Bombyx mori: one gene and its partner. The protein of the gene in region 1 interacts with the protein of each later gene in a biochemical or structural test. Links are inferred from orthologs where the notes say so. Each region holds a gene or a part of one and is shown on either strand. Other genes may lie near its edges. The genes, in order: asparagine synthetase domain-containing protein CG17486 and beta-1-syntrophin.

Region 1 (4,483 bases):
TCTTAGTTACCAGGTCATAAAATCCCATAAACGCTGAGAGAACTTTTGGCGGGAACGCGAGGAGTGAAGTTGTGTGATTTGTTTTGTCTATTTAGTGTTTCTTTAAGTTTAAATGTGTATTATCGGCGGTTTATTAACTTTAGTATCTTTGAAAGTACACAAATATAGGAAAATGAAACAAAGCCGCTGAAGGTGACTTCTCGGGATCCTCCAAAAAGTCCACTGAAAAAATCTCAGTAAATGACCACCATTTTACTGAGATTATATTTCATCCCATATTATCTCATCTCATTTCATTTTGATTTTCATTTCATTTCATGCCATGTTTCGTATTAATCAACTTCATTTCATTATATCATTTTTCATTTAAAATAAAATTAAAATGACTTGACCTTTAGTTACCATGTCATAAAATTTCTTTAAAAAATTCTATGCCTATATCACCATGGAGTTAAATAAGTAGGTACCGGTAAAATAGGGCGATTAGGGATTGAGAGGCGAATCGGGAAAAAACTGGGAAAATCTTTCGACGCTCAATATAAGTTTTATATTCGTTGCAAAATCTTCCATTTTTTGTAGTTTAATAGTAGAATGTTGAAAGTTCACAAAACAACTCTGAATATGCATGATAATAGCTGCTAACTTATAAAAAATCGCGTTTCAAATTAACTTCCTGTGGTGGTAATTATTTTAGTGCTAGAAACTTTGCTCTCTTTTATTTATTTGATAATAATAGAAGACGACTATGATTTATAAACGTTATTTAGTGTTTGAACCAGCATATATATTAAAGGTAAGTCTCAGTTGTTATTGGTTTTAATGTAATTGATTAAATAAAAATACATGTAAAAATCTGTTGTTTTTGGGGATATTGGGGACGCCTTAGGTACAAATAACAACGAAAAAGGGGTCAATTGGGATGAGAATACGTGAAATGGAAACGACCTAAGTATAAATAGGTACAGGTTTGTAGGGTTGTCTATGTAGTTATAACAATATTTTTTAAATTTGTTGGTAAAAACCTGATTTATTCGAAGCGAAATTGGGAATAAGTCTTTAGTTGAAATAGATAAGCAATTTAATATAAGTAAGTCGATTTTGCAGAGACATGTAACAAGATCAATGAAATCTCAAGGTGGACAAAAATGTCTAAGTAACACATAACAAAATATTTAATATTTGTTCAGAGTGGGGGTATTCATCTGATTAATCCATGGAATAACCGACACACCTAATCTCTTAACCCAGATAGAAATATCAGCACTGTCGATTGCACCTATAATTGAGGTGATGTCTGCCATGTACTTTTGTCAGTTTTTCAATTTTTTTTATTGATGATCACTTTGTTGGTGCAACTAAATAAATAAATAAATTAAAACTATATATAAAAATAAAAGTAGTGCCAACCCTAGCAAATTTCTCATTTCGTCCCAATTAACCGCAATTTTCGGGTAAATAGGGATTACACCTATTTTTGCATTTTTTGCTTAAACTGGAATGCTAGTTGCATAATTTTAAATTGGATAACAAAGATGCCCACAAGACTCAATCATTTTGATCCTGATATAGCATTATATACATCAACAACTATCTTAAAATTGCTCATAAAGTTGGAATTTGTCCCTAATCGCCCCATTTTACGGTACCTACTTACTAAAAATACCTAACTCTATGGAGTATGGATATTGGGTATCACCGACGGCTACATCGGTGGTGTTTTTAAACCATTTGAAACTTTGAATTGCTGTTGATCGTTTGGATACCGTAATTGACAGCATGTGTGGTATATTTTTGGAGTTAAGCTGCGAAAAATGTAGCATAGTGAACGTACGTGATTATTAATCTGAAATGTTGTTACGTAGTATACCAATTTTAAGGTTTTTTTTAATAGAGACCATTTCTAGGATATTGATGTCCTTCGAAGACTCAAAAACAGAGGACCCGATCACTTACAGAGGAAGGATTTTATTTCTGAAATTGGACACCACATAGTTTTCGTAGCCTCAGTTCTATGGATGCAAGGTCCGCAAATGACATTACAACCTCTCGAAAATGAATGTGGCATCCTTTTGTATAATGGTGATATATTTGACGAATCTTGGGATAGCAGAACCAGCGACACGCAAATAATCATGGAGAAACTTAGTTATGATTGTGTGAGAAATAGTTGTTAATTTATCAATTCATATTATCGTTTTTTTTTTATTAGCAGCAAATATTTAAAGTTCCTTCCAAAGTCTTACTGCCTAAAACTTGACATTCATTTATACCAATAATAGTACATTGTGCACCAAGGGAGAAAAGTAGGACATTTCCTCCTGCGGGTAAAATTGTCAAAAAAATGGCAAACATGCAGGATGAGATGTCCTACTTTTTTCTCGCAGTGCAAATACTATTTTTTTTCCTACCACGGCGAGTTCGTGGAATACCTAGCTGGGGTCCAGGAGCGAAGCCCTGGCAGAGGGTAGGGGGAGCGGAGCCCCCCCATACTCTTAAAAAACCATTTAACTGTTTTTTAATTTTTAAATAAACTACTACTAATTGAATAAGAACTGTCTGATGAACTCATCTTTGTTTAATACTTCAGTATTAAATTTTATTGCATTTTGTTTATTTCACTTTTACACTAAACACAATATTGCAAATTACCCGAGCACAACAATGGTGGAGAATTGTAGGTGCGTAAGAGCAGATGTAGACACTAACGCACATGCGCACTTGTACCCAGGGAGGAAAAGTTACACTTTCTTCCCTGTACAGCGGGAGGAAAACCAAACTTTCGGCGTAGGTAGGAGAAAATATTATTTTCCTTGGCTAACTGAACCTACAACAAACCCCTGGCAAGCTTATATACCTATATGTAAATATTATTTTTCAGGACAGTCAAATCGATAAAGTGATCAATGTATTAAAGTCACTAAAGGGGCCATTCAGCTTAATATATTACTGTAAAGTGACAAATAAATTATATTTCACTAGGGATCGATTTGGAAGAAACTCTTTACTCATACATAAAAATTCAAATTCTTTAGTATTATCCAGTGTCTTAGGTAATGTGATTTTATTCTTTATTATATATAAATGTATATCTATATCTAGAGTAAAATGTTAGTGCTTATTTGTTAGGCTTTTCTCTATTTTGAAGATTGTTATTCTTAAATGCAATCTTGATAAACTACTCACTCAATAATGGTGTTGGCACCTTATGTGGGCTTTTGACACAGGGATTTTTTTGATTTGATTTGATTTGAATTAAAAAAGGAAATTACTAGTTATAGTAAAATGTTAGTGCTTATTTGTTAGGCTTTTCTCTATTTTGAAGATTGTTATTCTTAAATGCAATCTTGATAAACTACTCACTCAATAATGGTGTTGACACCTTATGTGGGCTTTTGACACAAGGATTGATTTGATTTGAATTAAAAAAGGAAATTACTAGTTATAGCTACTTTTAACTGAAAGCACAGACAAACCTATTTTTGATATATTTAATTTCTTTTATACCTATAACATAGAATGTAAGTTTTATATAGTAGAACAGGCATATTTACTCTTATTTACCCAATTTACTTATCTAGTGACATTTTTACTAAGATGGGCAAAAAAAAAACTTTTCTTTTGGTACTACGAAATTATCGTCCAAGATGACAAAAAAAATGTAAAGTTTGAGCTCTTAATATTAATATTTAGAGGTGCCGCATCGTGATTTTTGATTTCCCATTTAAATGACACTGGTTTTTTTTTTCTTTGGAGTTTTATTGTATCTCAACGAATTATCGTGTAGTAAAAAGAAATACATATTTTTGTAGGGAATTAAACGGCCTACAAAAAAGGTCTGAAATAATTTTTTGCTAAGTCAACTCGGTTGAAAGTTATTCGCAGTTAAAGTTTAACCTAAAAAAAAGGCTTAAAAACATAAAACAACAATTTTTTTTCGTTTTCTATATTTATTGAGAATGAAAGCTTTGAAAAGAAAAATAATCAATTTTCCTTTTTAAAACTTGATTTCAAATAACAAATCAATAAATAATAGACATAATCGCATCAAAAATCTTTACAGTACTTCCGACTACATTAAAATCAGTTTTCAAAGCTTGCATTCTAAATAAATATGGAAAGTAAAAACGAAAAAAATATGTTGTTTTGTTTTTAAGCCATTTTTTTTGTGAAAAAGTCTAAAGGCTTCGTCAAACAGAACGCGTAATTAGCGCGCGTCAGAACTGACGGAGCGCTATGAGGTCGAGATGTGTTTGTGTTGTATAATATACTGTCAAACAGAGCGCCAGCGCTTTAAAGGCTTAGTCAAACAGAAGGCGTAGGCAGCGGCTTGGCTCTGCCCCTGGCATTGCTGAAGTCCATGGGCGACGGTAACCACTCACCATCAGGTGGGCCGTATGCCCGTCTGCCGACAAAGGCAATAAAAAAAAAAAAAGGCGTTACCTAGCGCTGCGTTTTAACGTCGCACTCTGTTCATGTCACGCGG
Region 2 (3,832 bases), on another chromosome or scaffold:
CCGTTGAAAGTGGCATATTTCACGTGGCGTAGCATATTTGTGTATTTGTTACGTTTGATCGAAAACGGTGATGCAAAGTGAAAATGTTTACCCAAACACATCACCAAACTGAAGTGCCAAACTAAAACTAAACGTTTCTGATGCAACCGAGACAGAGATGACTTATATATTTTCTCGTTTAAAACCTATCACTTCTGTCACATCCGGGTTTTATGCGCGTTTGTGTATATTTTTCATTAAAATGCGTTTTCCGTGTAATTTTGCCAGGAGCTAGAAATGGACGGTAGCCCGAAGCCGGCTGTGTTCATTCTGCACAATTTGCTGTCGGCTCGCGTCCACTCGCTGCCGGGAGATCCGACACCGAACCCGCTATAACCCGAACAATTTAAAGAAGGCATCAAATCATCATCGAACGATAACAACTGCTCGTCGAAGCTGCTCTCATCGATATGATCAGGGTTGTACTTGTTTTGATTTGTATGATCAACGCATTGGATCGTACTCAGTTCGAAATTCAAATTGGATCGCACTCGACTCGATTTGTAGGGTTGGTTTGTAAAATAACTAGGTCGTAGTTTAGTAGAAAGGATTCAGTCAAGGATTATACCAAACGAACTCTTTGGAACATAGTAGTTTTGCAACAATTATCAATGAACGAAGGTTTTTTTTTACACTGGCAACCCATGCGACTAAAACAAAAATATATCATTCTGCCGCGCCAATAAAGAAACGAATCTAAAATGGCGTCTATGTACCTGCACTGACAAATAGTAGGGTAAACAAATAAAAAGAAAGATAGAAAGAAAAAGTTGTTTATTGTAAAAAAATAAAAATAAAAACAAATGAGAAAGTACTTTACTTTACTTTGGTGCCCTGGCAGAGGGGGAGGTGTCTCATATAGGATGCAACTTGCGTAGACACTTTTGCTGCCAGTCAGCTAAGTAGCACAACTCGAAAGTGAAAAAACTCGAACTCAACAACAAAGTCGAAACTAATATTTTTTTTTGCATGCAGTACGCGCCGTGTGCGACTAAAGACAGCAATAGTTTAGACTGAGAGCGCATGATCGCCGCTGCCATTTTAGATTCGTTTCTTTATTGGCGCGGCTTATAGAAGTAAATTTAAAATAATTGTAATGTGTGCTATTTGAGTGTGGCGGTTTGAGCCTTTTCTGCTAAATGCCGGTCTATTTTAAATATCGGTACAATAATCGACAAATACGCTCGGTCGTGGTTTCAGAACCTGTAAAAGCCGGCTCTGTGAAATATGTAATAAGTAGTAGCAGATCCAAGGGAATTAATACTATTCCTATAATGTCCTTGTGTACTCTTAACACTTTTGGCCTAATAATAAAAAATCCTATATTTAAATAAGGAACAATTGAAAGCTTAATTTAACATTTAACGTCAGTTTTCATTTAATATTAACCGACGAAGATAAAACAAAATCGAATAATTATATACTCGTATTATGAATTAAATTGAGGAATACATAATGCCACCTAGGCTACATTAAGCCGAAGTTAAAAAGAGTATAAAAATCTGCGAATCTTCTAAATAAATACTCAATAAAATTATATAATGTATTCCGTTGAAATTGAATCTCTTTTATCAAAATAAACGTATCTGTGATTGTGCACAATTTATCAAACGAAATTTCTGCATATCTGAAGCGAATTCTCAATTCACTCACTTCACTAGTATAGTATATACAATAAAACAGATTGGTTTTTTGCATAGTTTTGACTGTATATTTGTATGGCTAATCTGTAATAGTAAACTTTTCGGCATATACATGTATCTATTTTATATCATTCATGAAAAATTGTATTCAGGATGGTTTCGAGATTCGATCGCGTTATCTATTTAAAAAAACATTTAATTAAAGCTAAAGCAAAGAGTTGCGATTTGGCACCGTTGACACTTGACAAAGTAGCCACTTGACACTTGACACTTGTAAGCGATTGACAGAGACTAACGCAAAGGCACATTTTCTGGCCATGATTACCTACATATACATTCGTGATTACAAGTCTGAATGCCAAGAAAATGCAAAATTCCAGGGGGGGCGTGTTCTAAGACGTTACATCGATTCCGCTCAACCGAATTTGAGCAATTCATCATGCTTATAAAGAATCTCCATCTGACATCCCTGGTTTTAGTCACACGAGATTAGGAACTGACTGTCGAAGTTAAAGTATGTTTGGAAATCCCCTAAGGGATTCCCGGAGAAACCACGTTTAAAAATCAATATCACAATTAAAAAAAAATCAGTCTAGAGGATTGTTGAGTTAAAATCTAGCTACAAATACATAGAATATCGATCTCGGGAATTCCTGGATAATATCACCAACAACGTGTTCTTTGAGTCGAGGCAGCGAAAGCTTATATACTGCGTGTTAAAAAGATCACTTCCGAAAATGAAGATAGACGATAGTATTAATGACACCTTTGATGATGGGACGGAAAAAAATCGATACTGATTAAAAAAAAAAAACATTTTTATAGCGTATTATTAGCATTATTTACGCTCCTTTATGTTAGTACAGATAAATGAAACGATAGTTTTATAGAAAATACATTACTTTACTAAAAAAAACCAGCAATGAAACACAAAATAAATAACAGCTGATGCTCGGATCAACGAACGCCCAGGCGTTGCGTTTCTTTTACACGCACACCGGCGCGAAGCTGATACCGCGCTCCCCAAGAATTACTTTGTTTACTATCGTCTGTCTTCGTTTTCGGAAGCGGTCTCCTAACACCCAGTGTAGGTCGGTAACGTCTTAGAATATGAGTGTTAGATTAAATCAGCGGTCGGGGAACTTTTTTAATTATTACACCAAAATATTTTTTGTGTAAGTTGATATCACCTCATGGCGAAGAACAAAACAAAAACGAAATCGCTTCCATTTAGCATCTTTCATATTATAAGCCCCCATGATAATTTTTAAAAGAAAACAATAACAAAAAATTTAACGTTTCTAAAGAAGTTTCACTTCAATATATATTTTTTACTCACAAAAGTTTCATTTTTACCCCCAAAATTTCATTTTACCCCATTTGGGGTAATTTACCCCGGTTCCCCGACTGCTGGATTAAATTGACGCTATTTCCAGAATTTTGAAGAGATATTAAAATTTTAAATTATTCGTAACCGGTGAAAGTAATTTTTTAATGTGTGGTAGTACTGATATACAAACGTATGTAAATAACATTTATCATTCAAGTACATGAACACCACAACCAAAACGCAACATAATAATTAAACCAGTGCTTGTTTTCGTGTTTGGTTAAAGGTTGAGATCTTTGAAAACAGCTCCGGTAGTAAGTATGAGATAACCTCCGTTAGTAAGTATGAGTTACCTATAGGTTGCTGTATATTCAAATCTATAAATGATTGATAATAAAACAGTGAAGTACTAATTGTAGTAATTGTGTGGTCGAATCTCATGGTATCTTTTAAGATGCTCAAAGCGATGATCGCCTCCATGACGATTATTGAAACGAATGATTGTTGTAATTCGATATAATATCGTTTTCCTATATGATGCTCAAAGTGATGATCGCTTCCGTGACGACAATTAAAACGAATGATCATTGCAATTAGATATCATATCGATTTCTTGTTGAGCAGTGCCGAGAAGAACGTTCTCGAATAATTTTTAATTCGAAAAAGAATTGAACACCAAAATCGAAAACGGGACAATAATTATCATATGATTTTACAAGAAAAAAAAAACATATGATTCTAAATATGTTTCCAAATGAAAAATATAACTTACTGGTCATAATCTTCCAAAGAAATTGTTTTTAATGATAATTTTATATGT

What was found.
Region 2: the proteins of asparagine synthetase domain-containing protein CG17486 (region 1) and beta-1-syntrophin interact in a test that uses a peptide from one of them, tested with the Homo sapiens proteins (2 studies listed by IntAct, with this or other methods). The link is inferred for Bombyx mori from reciprocal best matches to the Homo sapiens genes ASNSD1 and SNTB1.

The regions. Positions count from the first base shown.
Region 1 is NC_085110.1:14,030,008-14,034,490, forward strand, and holds the start of asparagine synthetase domain-containing protein CG17486, read left to right. Parts: upstream 1-1,640; 5' UTR 1,641-1,776; coding exon 1,777-1,827; intron 1,828-1,904; coding exon 1,905-2,156; intron 2,157-2,878; coding exon 2,879-3,050; intron 3,051-4,483.
Region 2 is NC_085118.1:12,118,026-12,121,857, forward strand, and holds part of beta-1-syntrophin, read left to right. Parts: intron 1-267; coding exon 268-375; 3' UTR 376-3,832. UniProt on the Homo sapiens protein: Adapter protein that binds to and probably organizes the subcellular localization of a variety of membrane proteins. May link various receptors to the actin cytoskeleton and the dystrophin glycoprotein complex.